Struthio camelus: one gene and its partner. The main gene of each other region encodes a partner of the protein of the gene in region 2 in a complex. Links are inferred from orthologs where the notes say so. Each region holds a gene or a part of one and is shown on either strand. Other genes may lie near its edges.

Region 1 (7,763 bases), on a different chromosome or scaffold from region 2:
CTCATGAGCTTACGAACCACTTCAGCCTGCAAGCGGTTAAAACAGCCAGCCAACACAAAAGGACGACTCTGAAGAAACTTTTATGCGAGCTTTTATAAACGAAGAGGATTTTTAAAGGAAGTACCACACCTCTGCTAATTCGCTAATAATCGGCACAAGCGGAACCGACGATTTGGCTAACTCGATACGCACACCATATACTATGCCTGATACTACAGCACGCAAGGAATATTTTCCGGCCGAAGGAGGGAAACGCTCAGGGGCATCCTCCGATATCCCGCGGGGTAAAGCCAGGGGCCGCCCGGGCTGCACGGGGCGATACCACCCGCACGCCCCGCGAGGTGGCCCGGGCACACAGCGGGCGCACGCGCGCATGCACACACACACACACACACACACACACACACGCGCACGCACACCTGAACGGACGAGAAATACCGTCTGTTACCATGGCAGCCTCATCTAATTACCGGAGCGACGGGGGCTGGAGTAGGTGCCCTGGAAACCTGTGCCACCGGCACGCAGCTACGCGGGAGCGACGGGCGAGAGCCGGAGGGGATCTATCCACCTCCGCCTTACGTAAAAAAGCCGTGCGACTAGTAAAGTCGCCCTCCAGAAAGCACCGCTGCCTGTAAAACAGTGGGCCGTTTGTACGGACAAATTAGGGGCAATAACGTAAAAACTACATCGTGCTGTTCTCTCACCGTACCTCAGCAACAACTCCAGTGCGGCATTTTTTCCCCCGACCAGTCTCAATTTCTTTTCTCCCTCATTCACAACCTTTGATCCCTGTTACAAAGCTGAACTGTCTTCATCACCCAAAGAGAAATAGATTAACGTGAAGGCTGGATTTTCCTTTAATGAAAGCTTTCAATCGAAACCGAAATTAAAAGTCCTTGACTTCCCAGCACGTAAGCGAAGTAACTCACTATGCCTGACCACATCTGACATGTAAAGTAACCATTACCGCATAAAATAATACATTACCATGAACAGTAAAGGTTAAATGCAACTTGCCTTACAAAATACAAATTTCTTTACCATATGAAATGGACAAGATCTCCAGCAAAGGTCACCTACCTGCACAATTCCTGATTCGTCCACAAAATACATCTGTAAGGAGCAACGTTTTACCAAGCTAGCTTCCTTCGTGTGGGCATAACAGGAATGCCTTGTAATTTCTGCTAATTCTGCCTGGAGTTCAGGCTCACAGGGGAGAGATGCTGCTTGGAGGAGTCCCTATTACACAGCATACGGTAAACAAAATAAAAATAGCCCGTCGTTCCTGTTATCTACATAGTGCATTATATAACGGGCTTCCGACTTGTTTTCTTTTCTATTATTACTCTTCAGCAATTCCTCCCCTTCAGTAACATGTAAATCGCTCCCCATTCTGTCATTTGATTATTACCGCTATTACTATTACAGCCGGCGCTAACGTTTTCCAGCACGCTTTAAATTAAGACTCCGATATGCTCAAGGAACCGCATTTTACGGCTTCAGCACCTACAGGCGTCTAAAAACAAGGATTGGGGGGTGGGGGGAGAGGGAGGGAGGGAGGGAGGGAGTCATTTATCTGCGTTCACGCCGGCAAATTCCGCCGCTTCAGGCAAATAAATAAATAGATCTCAACAAGTCAGAAAAATATATATAATAATAACCGGGGGGGGGGGACAGCGTCGCCCGGACGGGGCTCCCGCAGCACCCCGGCCGCCAGCGGGGACCCGGCCCCCTCCCGGCCCCGGCCGCCCCTCTCCCCTGCCCCCCTCCCCCCGCGCTGCCAGTACCAGGTGGCGCCTCCGGCCGGCCCGGGCCCCTACGTGCGGCAGCGGCGGCGGCGCGGGGCCGCTGCCGGGCACAGCCCCGCCGCAGCGCCGCCTCCTCCGCCTCGCCCGCCCCCCGCTTCATTCACCCCTCCGGCAGCCGCCCGGCCCCTACTACAGACGCCGTGCGGCGGCGGCGGCCGGGCCCCCGCCCCGCCGGGCCCGCCCGCCCGCACGCACTACACAGCCACACAACCTCCCCACCCGCCGCCAACGGCCGCACACTCACCCCCCCCCCAACCACTACACACCACCACAACCCCCCTCCCCGCACAGTCAGACACACACACACACACACACACACACACACACACACACACACACACACACACACACACACACACAGCCCGAGGCCGCCGCCGCCGCACCAGGGGCGGCCGCGGCTCGCAAAATGTCCACCGTCCCCGCAGACACCGACACCCCCGGCCGGGCCGCGCCGCGCCGCGGCGGGGGGGGGGGGGTTGGGAGGATGAGGAAGGTGCGGCGGGGGGGGGGGGGCGGAGAAGAGAGGGCCTCACCAGCAACTCCGGCCGCGGGGCTGCCCCCCCCCGCCCCCCGGCCCGGCTCCTTCCCTTCCCCTCGGAGGACATTTCCCGCCCGGCCGCCCCCTCCCGCGGCGGCGGCGCTCGGCCATTTCGCGGCCCCCCGCGGCCGGGGCCCGGGCCCGGGCCCGGGCGGTGCGCTCCCCCCCCCCCCCCCCCGCAACCCTGTGTTTTTCCAGCTGGAAATCGCTGGCGGTTCGCAGTCTAAACAAGGGAAGAAGCCGGGGAGAGGGAAAGGGGGGGGGGATGGAAACAAGGCACAAAAAAAAAAAAAAGCTGAGGAGGAAGAAAAAAGCCACTTACTGTAAAGTGTCAGTGGAGGTGGGGTTGGCGGGGGGGGGGCCAGAGGGAGACTCGCGCACTAATGTCCTCCTAGCTGCTCACAGGGCTTGGGGCTGCTTGTTCGGGGCGGGGGGGGGAGGTGGTGGTGGTTGTTGTTGTTGTTTGGTTGGTTGGTTGGTTTTTTTCCTTCCCCCTGCAGTGACACAGGTCCGGGATGTCTCCACCACTGTAGTAGAAATGATGTCTGCGGTACAGAGCTCGCTCCCTCTCCTCTCTCTCTCTCTCTCTCTCTCTCTCTCCAGTATGTAAATGTGTAACAGAAGCCAAATATGGAGCAGTTGGCTGCCTCTGCAACAGCTCAAGGATCCTACTTCATGCAAACGGGGGGGGGGGGGGGGGAGAGCAGGGAGAGGAGGAGGAGGAGGAGGAGGAGGAGGCAAGGCAGCGCTTTGGCAGGCGGCCAGCAGAGCCACACAGATTATTGCATCCGCGCAGCGCCGCCGCCGCCTTAACCCTTTGCGGCCGCTGCTGCTGCGGCGGCGGCTGCTGCGCGCCCCGCGGGCCGCCGCGTCGCCCCTTGCGCCGCCACCACCGCCCTTTTATTTTTTAACACCTCAAAGGCCAGGCCGGCTCCCGGCGGCGGGGTTCGTGTGCGCACGCCGCTGCTGTGCACAACCGCCTGCTCCTCGGGATCGCCGAGCACTTTGCAAGCAGGAAGAAATACATTTGGGGGGGGGAGGGGGGAAGGAAGGCCAAAGGGAAAAAAAAAACTATATGGCTTACCAAGGAAAGAAGAGCCGACTAGCAAAGCATGCTGTCCTTCAGAAATGGCAGGGAATGCTGGTTTAAGGGATGCATGAAAATCAGCGGCTCAATCAAGGCTGGTCTGCCTCTCTAAGGGAGGAAATAAAACTGTGCTGGAAGCCAGGGAATGCTCTGAAGCAGCCTCTGTGAGAGTCAGAAAGGGGTGATTTTATTTAAGATGCCATATTGCATTTCGCTGTGGAGAACTGCAAAGTGTTTTTGAGCAAGAGCCTGCATCCCACTCCCGTTTTCTGAATTAGTTTTATTTATCCAGATCCTTGGCATATACTTGAGTTGCTTTGCAAAAAGTACCTTCTACTTCATTCAGACCAAAAGAGAGTCTGACTCATATCATCACTGAACTACAAGACAGTCAGGGCTGAACCACGCATGTTTGGGTACTAAGGCTCTCCAGATGCTTAGCACGCATTTCATCCAAGATCCCTTCACATCTCTCCCAGCTGTACACAGACCACCGTGAGTCCCTCCCGAACTCTCCCCTTGGCTAAGGCAGTTTACACTTCCACAATGCTCCAGCATCAGCTCGTTAGCCCCTTACTGCTCTCAACATGGGTCTCCGTAGTTCATAAACTGCAGTGATGGGCAAACAACAAACACAGATGCAAACTGGAGACCAAAGTAAATGTCCTCTTTCTGGACTGGCTCAGTCTGGTCTTCCAAGTTTTAGGAGAAAAGAAAAGACAAAACACAATATTACCAAGACGGGTACAGTTTAAGGAAATTAAAACAATTAATGGAAGAAACAAATGGGAAGAATACAACCAAAGGATGGTAGGGCTGTTAGGCTTGCATGCAACCTGACAGCGGGTCCATAAGCAACTACTCGTGCTCTGCTTTGGCATCAGGAAGGGACGTGCCGCATGGAGAAAGCCTCCCCCCCGCCACCACCACATTGCAAAACCGTTGCATAAATACTGAAGGCAATTATATGCCTGCTCCACCGAGCTGGAGGCTGTGCGATAGATGCACCAATGCACAAGCCTTGGAAAGGCTCCAGGGAGCAGTGTATGTGGACTCCCTGCAATATGTCCATTCAGACCAGACTGCTCATTGCAGCTTGTACCAATTTGCCCACACCACAACAGACTCCAAGGGAGCAGATTCTAGTGTAGATATATGTGTCCATTAGATATTTCTAGCATTAGAGGTTAGATGCAAAATACCCTAGGACTCTCTCTGTCATTCTGCTGATCAGCAAGTCGTCCCTTCTATAAACAACTGTGCTAGTTCACCGTAATTGCTAAAGAATGTAATAATAACATTTTAAGCTGCAGCGCTCTTGATTTAGAGTAGATACTGAATACAGACTCACTTTATGAAGCGTAAGAATCTTCTACTACTGCAGCCTCTACATCTTTAGTTCAGGTTCACTATGAAATCCAACATCATCTTCCATTTTATGAGTGATCTGGGGATAGGAGCAGCAACAGGCCAAGATGTCTGGTCAAACCTGCCACTCAGCACCATGTGATAGCGCATATCCAGCAGCAAAGCAGAAAGCAAAATTATCTTCAACCAGCTAACGCAAGGTTCATTGATTTACCAAAAGTAACCAAGGGAGAGAAACAGGGACTGAGGATTACTGAAAATCAAGTGAAAGCCCTGGAGAAGCTGCAACCCCGTCACCAGGGTTCATGTCTGAGTATGCGGCAGTCTCCCGTCCGCCACCTTTTTTATTCCAGTTGCACAGAGTGTTACCTCAGGAGAAAGGAATCTTTCCTTCTCAGCCGCTCGCTCACCTTGCCAAGAGGTGTGGCACACGCCGGGAAAGAGAAGCCACATTCATGCTGAAGCAAGCTTTGGGCAACTTTCCCTTCTGCAGCAGGCTCATGTAAGAGGCTTGTGTTATTTCTCCGTTCTGCGGCTATGGTGTTTGCCACAGGACCCACGTTTTTTTGCCACGCACGAGGCGCTGAGCTCCTAAATCTCTGCCTGTGTTTCTGCCTCAGAGTTGAAAAGAGACCCCTAAAATGTAAGTCAGTAAGAAATCAAAGCAATATTGTCTTCCTGAGCCAGCAGGCAACCTTAAAACCGTAGCTTTGGGAAATGCCATAACTCCAGCCAACCACCTCAGGTTCATAAGCCGTTCCTCGCCTTCTTCTGACTGGGAATATGTCGGGTGCATAACAGGCGAAAAAGAGATGGGGACTCCCCTTATCATGCCTCCCTTAACATTGCCTGGCCCAGAGGATATACTACCATATCACGAGATGTCATTGTGCCTTTGCAGTTCCTTTATTCAGGGCCTATACTGGGACTCCAGCTATTCTCTATTCTATACCACAACATACAGAAGGGCTGCTGAGGGCCAAGGGGCTGCGAAACAGCACTTGAATGTGATCTGTGGTGACTGGCTGGGGCAAAGGTCGCTTAGTGTGTACTAAGGCAGTGTGGCCTATTGACTCAGAGGTGCAGGACTATGCCCCAAGAGAAGGAGTCACTTGCTACAGAGAATAAACCTGAATTTACCTGCCACCAGGAAGGTTCTCACAGCAGAGGGAGGCAACTCAGCAGCAAAGAGGTGAGGTCTTGCTCCAGGGCTAGCCCGGGTACGTCAAACGGGCTCTCACAGCAGCTCCGAACTGCCCTAAACTGCCTCACCTTGCCCCCTCTGACAAGGGCATATAGCAACAGGGGTGGACCCCAAAGTAGTAGCAAAATTCCAAAACAACCTATTCTGTTACCGGCTGTCCTGCCCTCAGGGGAGAGAGTGAGCCACGAAATCCAGGACAGATGCTAGTCACGTGGTTGAGCGCAGTGTGGACGGGGCTCAGATACTGCAGTGGCGAGTGGGACGCAAGAACACACGTAGACTCCAGCATTTTTATTTACTGCTGGTGACATGCCAAAAGTGATATGACTCCCAGCTGAATGCGCTCTTGACCAAAAGCCATTAATCAATTTGACATGGAAGGTGCACACTGTCTAGAAGAAACTGTCTTTCAATGCACTAGTTGTACTGTGTCATCTACACTGCGTATTTTATACAATTAATAGTTAACTATGAAAAATGAGGGAATACGAGGCATAAGAAGTTGGATTTTTTTTAACATTCGCACCCAGGGAAATCCAGTGATTAGAGACGTACTGCGTGTGAAAAATAATCTTAAAATTATCAATCATTACAGTCTAAGTCTTCAATTTGTCATAAAATGACATTGTTGGTCTCATTACAGCCTCTAGTGGACAGTAGTAATCCACTTCACAGACCTGTCATACACTTTGCTCAAGTGACAGGCATTACCAAGGTGGAGGTTACTGTGAAAGAGAATGAACGTACAATCAGTTTTCTCCTGTGGCAAAAAAGGATTTTTGAATACAATCAGAGGCTTGTTGGCATTGCTCTTAAGGTGTCTTGCTTTGTGCTTCAGGTATTAATACTGGCTTGCAAATAAACAGAGAATTTCTGCTATCCATTTCAGTTTCAGACAGCTTTCATAAAAACTAAATTCATCTCAAATATTTTTATAACAGAAAATATCGGTTGCCATGCTTTTGGCTTAAGTACGATGTTTTTATTCCAACTCAGAATCTGCCGACTGTCCAATCCACCTCCTGTCTATTTATAGCCCTCTTGTATTCAGATAATTTTCAATAATGCAGTTATTTTCATTTTTATTTCAGACATATGCAGTTGATTTAAGGTATTTTAGGAGCTCTAACATATGAGAAATTCTAATTTGGATTACAGCAGACTAATTAAGGTACACTTTCCTCAGGGAAGTTAAAAATGAACACGATCAGCACAAGAACATATTTGGAATGTATTCTTTAACTTGAAGTGCCACTTATGTGAACATAATGGCATGTGACTAACATCTTTATTTTCTCTGCGTTCTCTTAGAAATGAGTGTAGCCCCTATCAGAATAGGGATGTTGAGGATGTTCTCCAGAGCTCCGACTGTGATTGTTTTCAGATGGAAGGGAATTAGATTGGCAGACCCAGAGAGCCAATGCTGTCTCTTTAAAGCCACAAGTATCTCATGCAAATTAACATTTAGTGAAATGAGAGCTAAGCATTCATGAAGACTAAGCAAGTATGTAGTACTACAGTACGACTCAAAGAGAAAAACTTTTGGTCTAAAATGCTGAGGTCCTTTGGAAGCAGATTCCAAAGAAAGGCTGCTGTTCATTTTTTTATTTTACCACATCATGCCGAGTTACGTGTTGTAGTGGCCTCTGAAAAAATCATTCTCTATTTGTCATTCCTTATCGTATATGTAATGGGATATTTAAGTATAGAAGTGTTTAACTTGCCACTGCCTTGATTTTTAAAAAGAGGCAACCAACT
Region 2 (7,375 bases):
GAACAGCACCTTTGCCCCATAACCAGCCCCCCCGGGTATGGGGCACCCCATAAGTGGCCCAATAAACAACAACCCTGGGCTATTGGTGCCCCATAGCCCCATACCCCCCCCCACGCCCAGCCTCACCCCATGGGCTAGTGGCACCCCATAGCCCCCTCTGGCCACCCCTCCCCCTCGTCAGCACACTCGGGGCCTGTTCTCGCTAATTAGCTGGGAGGGGGGAAGGGGGGGGCTGGGACGTGACATCAGCGGCGGCCGCGGCCCCATCAATGGACCACTGTTCCTGGCCGCCCCCCCCAAGTCCTGCGGGGGGGCCATGGGGCCCAGGCATCCGGGACGCCCCCCAGCCCACCACAGCCCAGGTGTCCGGGACACCCCCCAGCACAACACGGCCCCGGGGGCCCAGGTGTCCGGGGGTTCTCGCGGCCCCGAGCTCTGCACAGCCCTTGGAGGGGGGCACGACACAGGTGAGGGCCCCCCGCACACACGTGTGCAAGCATGTCCTCCCCCACACACACGCGTGTGCGAGAGTGACCTTCCCCCCACACATGCGTGCGAGCTGGTGTGTGCGCCCCCACCCCCCACACACGCGTGTGCGTTGCGCCCCCGCCCCAGCGCCTGGAGCACGCGTGGGCACCGGCCCCCCCCGCACACGCCTGCGCACACGCCCGCGCACACAAAGCACGCCCTGTCCGCCGGCCGTCCCGCTCCAAGTTTCCTCCCCGCCCCCCCCGAGCACGCCTGGGCCCCCCGGACTCGTGTCCCGTGTCGTCGCTCCCCCCCTGCATTGCATCACCCCCCCCCCGGCCCCACACATGGAGGGAGGTCATGACGATGAGCCCCTCGGGAGGGGACACACAGACCCCCAAGTCTGACCCCCCAGATAGGGGGAACATGTCCCCCCCCCCAATCCCGTCCCGCACGTGGGACCCACCCACCCCCCCCTTATTGGGGGTCCCCCACGCGGGGGGCAGAGGATCCCCGGCCCCCCCCAAACCTCACACCTGGGGAGCACAGGGACCCCGGCCCCCACACTTGGGGGGCGCCGGGACCCCCAACTCTGCGGGGGGGGTCACGCCCCGCCCTTCCCCCCCCCCCGCGGGGCGCAAAGTTTCGGCGAGTTCCGCGGGGGAGGGGGCGGGGCCGGGGCGGGGCCTGCCGCGGGCGGGGGGCGGGGCCGGCGGCGGCAGGGGTACGGGGCGGGGGAGGGGACAAGTTTGAACAGGAGCGAGACGCGCTCCAGCCCGGCCGGATTCCTGCAGACAATCGGGGCGGGGGGGGGGGCACCGCAGCGCCCGCCCCCCCCCTTAAGGTGGGCCGGGGGGGGTAAAGTCCGACCCCAACCTTCGCCTCCCCCTAACACGTTTCAGGTGGCACCGCGCGGGGGGGGGGCGCCCCCCCACGGCGCCGTGACCGCTAGCCCGCCCCCCCAGCGGTGTTGGGGGGGGTCACGACGACCCCCCCCTCCCCGCCCCCAGCCGGCGCCACCTTAAACCCTCGTTGTTTGTCGGGAACAAAAAAAAAGTTCCCAAAAGGCGCCGACGGCAACTTGGCGCGGGGGGGGAGGGGGGATACGGGGGGAGGGGGGACACGACCCCCCCGCCCCCTCCCCGCGGCGCCCCTCCCCCCCGCGCGCACACACAACGTGGCACAGCCCCCCCCGCGCCCCTCCCCCCCGGGAAAAACACCCCCCGCGGGAAAACACCCCCCCGGTGGGGATAAACACCCCCCCGCGGAGATTCCCCCCGCGAATAAATGCCCCCCCCCCGCGGGGATAAAACCTCCCCCGCGGGGATAAACACCCGCCTGGGCAAATAAATGACCCCCCCGGGGGAACAAATACCCCCCCCCGCAGGCGCCTGGTTATGGGGGGGCCCGGCCGGCGCCGCCGCTTCGCGCGAAGCAACAGGTCCCGGCGCCGCCAACTCCGCCGGAGCCCCCCGCCCCCCCGCCGGGGGTTCCTCCCCCCCCCCAGCGGCCCCCCCCTTTAAAAACAGTAGTAGATCCGGGCGCGGGGGCGGCCGCCCACGTGGGGCGGGGGGGGCCCAAAGTTTGTGCGGCGGCGGCGGGGGGGCAACTTTCGCCCCCGTCAACCGGCGCCGCCGCTCTTCTTCCCCCCCCCCCCGCGGCGAAATAAAATTACAGATATAAAAACTTCCCCTCCCCCCGGGTAAGTCCCCCCCCGCCCCGGGGGGGGGGCGCAGTCCCCACCTGCGTCCGCCGGCGTCTTCATGGCTCCGCGCGCTGCAGCCGCCGCCGCCGCCGGGTCGGTGTCGGGCTCGGCCCCCCCGCCGCCCCCCCCCGCCGCCGCCGCCCCCCGCCCTCCCCGCCAGCCCGGGACGCCCACGCCCCCTGCTCACGTCACCGCCGCGTCGCCATGGACACTAAGCCCGCCCCCCTCCCCCTCCCGCCACCGCCTCCCCGCCCGGCCACGCCCACGGGGGGAGGGGAAGGAGGGGGCGCTTAAAGGGGCCGCGCGGGGAGGGGCGATGGGGCAGAAAGGGGCAATGGTGTAGGAGGGAGGCACATGGGGCAGGAGGGGGCAATTGGGGACAACGGGGTCCATGAGGCAGGAGGGGGCAGATGGGGAGGGGTGATTGGGACAGTGACATCTGGGGCAGGAGGGGAAAGGGGGTCCCCATGAAGACCCCTTCTGGGATCTGGGCTGAGACCCGACAAAGCTCATGACATGCAGGCCCGGCGTGTTCCACACGCAGCCGCAGGGCCAGGCCAGGAGGCAAAGGCCCCAGCACGCGAGGCCCTGGCATGAGCGGCCCCCGTGGGGGGTAATTAACCTCCCAGGTTGTTTTGCCTCGTTTGTGCTGGCGGCTGATGCAACTCCCCAGCGCCCGTGCACCTTGCTGGGCCGCTTGCACCCCCGGCCCTTGCACGTGCCCGAGCACCAGGCCTTGCGCACACCCGTGCACACACCCTTGCACAGGGCCTTGCACGCACCCCTGCACCAGGTCTTGCACGTGCCCTTGTCCAGGGCCTTGCATAAGGCTTTCTGCGTGCCCTCACATGTGCTATTGCACGGGGCCTCGCACGCACTCTCACACAGAGCCTTGCATGGAGCCTTACACAGGGCCTCGCACGCATCCCAGCATGGGGCCTTGCACTGCCCTCACACGTGCACTCGCACGCTGCCTTATGGGTGCCATCGCACAGGCTGTCACACGCACCCCTGCACCAGCTCTCGCATACATCTCTTTGCAGGACCTTGCACGGGGCCTCGCATGCGCGGGGCCAGGGCTGAGCCGGGAGGCCGGAGGCGGCAGCGGGCGCCGGCTGGGGGCCGCGGGCCGGGGCTGGTGCCGCCAGGGCCGGGCCCCGGGTTATAAATAGGCGCCGTATAAATAATGCAGCTTCCCCGACTATAATTATCGGCTGGAAGTTTGCGGTGCAGGAGATGCATTAAGCGGCTACCCCTCCCCCCCACCCCAAATCCTGCCCATTTACCCCGGCCAGGGGAAACTGAGGCACGAGGGGCACTGGGCCCCCTCACACGAGGGCCGTGCAAAGCCCCGCCGGGCCCAATTAAAACCTTATCAGAGCCCGGCTGATAACAGGGTGGGGGGGGGCAAAAGCCGCTCTTAAAGGGGCAGCGCAGCCCGGGACCTCCCCCCACGCCGTTGCACGGCGCGCGTTCCCACCCCACGCCTGCGCGTGCCGCGTGCACGCGCCCGTACGCAAACCCCTCGGCAGTGCGCGGCACGAGCGCACAGGCCGCGCGTGCACCCTTTCCCCCCTATGCTGTTGCACGGCACATGCACGCCCCAGTGGGCCCGCCCCACGCGGGCGCAGCCCACGCCGTTGCACGGTGCACGCGACCGCCCCGCGCCGCTGCACGGCACGTGAGCTCGCCCCATGCGCGCCCGCCCCACGCCGCGGCAGCGCGCGCCGCTCGGGGCGTGCCAGTGCGCGTGCGTGCGCGGGGCGGGGCGGGGCGCGCGGGGGCGGGGCGGGGGCGGGGGCGGGGGCGGGGCTCCGGCAGGCTCCAGCGTGTCACACACGCCCCGCGTGCGCTCCTCCCCCCTCCCGCTCTCCTCGTTCCCCGTCCTGCCGGAGGCGGGCGGCGATTGGCCCGCGCTGGCACTGCCGCCACCCAATGGGAGCGCCGAGCGGTGACCTCATCCCTCGGCCGCCCCGGGGGCAGATTGGCTGGCCAGGGCCCCGCCCCCGGGCCCCACGTGGGGAGTGTGGGGGGGTGCCCGGTCCGGCCTCTGATTGGCCGGGCGTCTGTCGGCGGCGGCTCCGCTGTTGCTGAGGGGAAGCGCGAGGGGCCCGGACGGGGCGAGACGGGGACCGGGAGAGGCCGCCGGGTGAGCTCATGCATATGCTAATGAGATGCAAATGACATGCAAATGGAGCGCCCCCGGGAGGGGCGGGGGCGGGCGGGAGGGGAGCGGGGGGGCGCGGGGAGGGGGCTGCTGTCCCCTCCCCCCTCCCCGAGGAGTTGGACTCCCCGGCCCTGAGGGGCGGGAGGGGGAGGAGGAAGGGGAGGGGCCTCCGCGTGGCATGCCGGGACCTGTAGTCCTTCCCGCGCGCCCAAGCCGGGGGCGGTGCCCGCGCGGGACTACAACTCCCAGCGGGCCGCGGTGCCGCGGGGCCTGACGGGAGCCGTAGTCGCTTCCCTGCCCGGGACACCTGAAGGCAGGGGGGGCCGCTATCGCCACCTCTTGCGAAGCCCCGCTCCCGTCAGCCCCCGCGCCGCGCTGCCGGCAGGGAGAGGTGCGAACTACAACTCCCGGCAGGCTTCGCGCGGGGCATGCCGGGAGCCGCGGCCACCTCCCCGGCCTGCCAGGCGGCCGCGGAGGACCACCTCTCCCAGGCGCCCTTGCGCGCCCCTTCCCGCATCCTCGCTGGGGCATGCTGGGAGCTGTAGTTCTCGCCCACCGGCTTAGGCGGCGCCGCTCCCGCGAGGAACTACCCGTCCCGGCAGCCGCCGCGCGGCCCCGCGCTTCCTCCTCGCGCAGCGCCAGGTAAACAAGTCTGGGCCTAGCCTCGCCCCGCCCCCACGGGGCCTCCATTGGCTACTGTATACGCAGCACCTCCCCGCGGCCCCCAGCCGCGCCTTCTCATTGGCTACTGTAAGTGCCGCTCGAGGGCGGAGGGGCGGGCCGCGCCGCGCAGCTGTCCCGCCCCCGCGAGGCGGCGGTTGGCCGGCAGGAGTGACAGTCTGAGGGGGCGGGCCGAGACCGGGCCGTGCTGCGCGCCGGTTGGCCGCGCCCGCCGCCAGTCGGGCGGTTGTGGCCGTCGATTGGCCGGCGCCGCCAGCTGGTCCAGATTCATTCACCATTTTGTCGGTTGGAGTAAAAGGGGCTCGGAGGGGCCCGAGAGGGGCTCGGGCTGGACCATCCCGCGGGGGACAGGGGGGGCCGGGCTGTACCAACCTCTCCGCAGAGCGGGGGGGAGCGGGCTGCGCCAGGCTCCCCCCTCGCACGGCGCGGGGGGGGCGAACAGGTAATGGGGGGGGCACTGGGAGGTACCAACACCCCCGAAACTGGGGGGAGGGGGAAGGTTGGGACGTACCAACTCCGCCCCCTCAAAAACTGCAAGGGGGAGCGGTAGGGGGGCACCGACACCCCCAAAACGGGAAGTGTCCCAAAACCTCCAAATAGTGGGTGTCACTATTAGGGACCGACCCCCCCCGAATTTTTTTTTGGGGGGGAATGGCCAAAAGTACCCCCCCGGGAGGGGGTTGCTGGGACATACCACCCCTCTCCGGGAATGGGGGGGTTGGGGGCCCCCCGGGGTTACCGGGCAGGGGGGCAGGAGGGACCACCCCACTGGCTGGGGGGGCAGGATCCACCCAGTCTTCCCTGAGGGGGACCGGGGGGGTGGTTGTGGGGGGGTCACGGAGAGGGCAGACATGGCCCTGTGACGGGGCTCTGGGCCCGGGGGGAGAGACCTTGCTGGGCCGGGCCTGGGGAGCTGCGAGCAGGGGCCAGTGTCCCCCCTGCCAGGAACCAGTGCCCCCCAAGGGGTCGATGTCCCCCCCGAGGGACCAGGTGACCCCCCCAGGGGCTGCTGCCCCCCCCCAAGGTGCCTCCAAGGGGCTGCTCCCCCCAAGGGATTGGTCCCCCCCCACACCCAGGAGCCACTCCTGGGTGATGGTCCCCTCCTAAAGGTACCAGGACCCCCCCAAAGGGGTTCGTCCCCCCTCAAGGGGCTGTTCTCTCCCCCAAGGTGCCCCCCCATGATACCATTCCCCCCCCAGGGGGCAATTCCCCCCCCAAGGGGCTAGTCCCCCCCCCAAGCTGCCCCTAAGGGCCAATTTCCCCCCCTGATGATGATCACCCCCCTCCAGGGGCAATTCCCCCCCCCCAAATGCCTGATTCCCCTCCCAAGATACTAGCCCCCCACTAGGGGCCACCCCCCCATATTCTCCCCCCCCCCACCCCGGTGTGCCCCTATGCCACGTAGAGGCCACAGGCCCAGCCCAGGCATTTTGATGACCCCCCCTGACCCCCCACTTTAACTCTCTCCCCACAGCTCCCCGTGGCTGAAGCCCGGCCTGGCAAGAGGAAGATGAAACCGGTGAGGAAGGCCGGCAGCTCCTCCTCCTCTTCCTCTTCCTCCTCCTCTTCCTCCTCGTCCTTGTGCGGGAGCAGCGGGCGACTGCCGCCCACCGGCCGCCCCAAGGTGCCCAAGCGCCGTGCACCCGAGGGTGCCGCCAGCGGGCCAAAGCTGGAGGGCGAGGAAGACGGCGGCGGCGAGGAAGCAGCGGCAGCAGCGGTGCAGACGGATCCAGGGCCGCGGGACGCCAGCGGCGAGGAGCCGCCGGGCAGCCGCAAGACGGCCACCTTCAAGGCCCGGGCACCACGCAAGAAGCCACCAGCGGGCGAGGAGTGGAGCGGCGAGGAGGAGGAGGACGAGGAGGCCGAAGGGGCGCCCGGCCCGTCCTCCTCCGGCACCGACACGGCCAGCGAGCACTCAGCCGACGAGGCGGGCGGCCCTGGCCGGGCGGCGCTGCGGCGCCTGCGGGCGCAGCGGGTGCTGGCGCGCCGCCCCGGCGGCCTCTTCCAGCCAGCGGTGGTGAAGCAGGTGCGGGAGCGCGGGCGGGAGCTGGCCGTGCAGTTCGCCGGCGAGCGCAGCCTGACGTACTACGCGGCGGCGGCCCCGGACGTGGTGCTGGACGCCGCGCCGCCGCCAGGCACCCTGGCGCTGGGCACGGCCGTCTGCGCCCGCCTGCAGGAGGAGGAGGAGGAGGACGGCGGCTACCGCGAAGGCACCGTGGTGGAGATCGGCGCCAAAGCCACCTGCTACCGCATCCGCTTTGCCGGCGCCGCTGCGCACCGCGACACGGCGTGGGTGCCGCGCTCCGACCTCCGCCTCCTCCGCCCGCCCTGGAGCCGGGAGCCGCCGGCCGAGC

What was found. Proteins that work in one complex are often made in the same cells at the same time.
Region 1: the proteins of CIC (region 2) and ATXN1 are in contact, whole or in part, in an NMR structure (PDB 2M41), measured with the Homo sapiens proteins. The link is inferred for Struthio camelus from reciprocal best matches to the Homo sapiens genes CIC and ATXN1. Residues at the interface, in NP_001291744.1 of Homo sapiens: Val943, Phe944, Pro945, Trp946, His947, Ser948, Leu949, Val950, Pro951, Phe952, Leu953, Ala954, Ser956, Gln957; in NP_000323.2 of Homo sapiens: Pro572, Tyr573, Phe574, Ser578, Ile579, Ile580, Gln581, Leu582, Ala583, Leu587, Val590, Leu593, Phe598, Ser601, Ala602, Leu608, Asp611, Ser613, Phe631, Val633, Ala638, Gln639, Val640, Val642, Tyr648, Pro649, Phe650, Phe651, Trp657, Ile683.

The regions. Positions count from the first base shown.
Region 1 is NC_090943.1:99,619,941-99,627,703, forward strand, and holds the start of ATXN1 (ataxin-1), read right to left. Parts: upstream 3,017-7,763; 5' UTR 2,669-3,016; intron 1,883-2,668; exon of another isoform or gene 1,788-1,882; intron 1,240-1,787; exon of another isoform or gene 1,081-1,239; intron 1,020-1,080; exon of another isoform or gene 705-1,019; intron 638-704; exon of another isoform or gene 420-637; intron 1-419. UniProt on the Homo sapiens protein: Chromatin-binding factor that repress Notch signaling in the absence of Notch intracellular domain by acting as a CBF1 corepressor. Binds to the HEY promoter and might assist, along with NCOR2, RBPJ-mediated repression. Binds RNA in vitro.
Region 2 is NC_090980.1:392,638-400,012, forward strand, and holds the start of CIC (protein capicua homolog), read left to right. Parts: upstream 1-4,205; 5' UTR 4,206-4,322; intron 4,323-4,754; exon of another isoform or gene 4,755-5,090; intron 5,091-5,154; exon of another isoform or gene 5,155-5,463; intron 5,464-6,495; 5' UTR 6,496-6,531; coding exon 6,532-7,375. Other genes in the region: ETS domain-containing transcription factor ERF, read right to left, coding at 2,212-2,233. UniProt on the Homo sapiens protein: Transcriptional repressor which plays a role in development of the central nervous system (CNS). In concert with ATXN1 and ATXN1L, involved in brain development.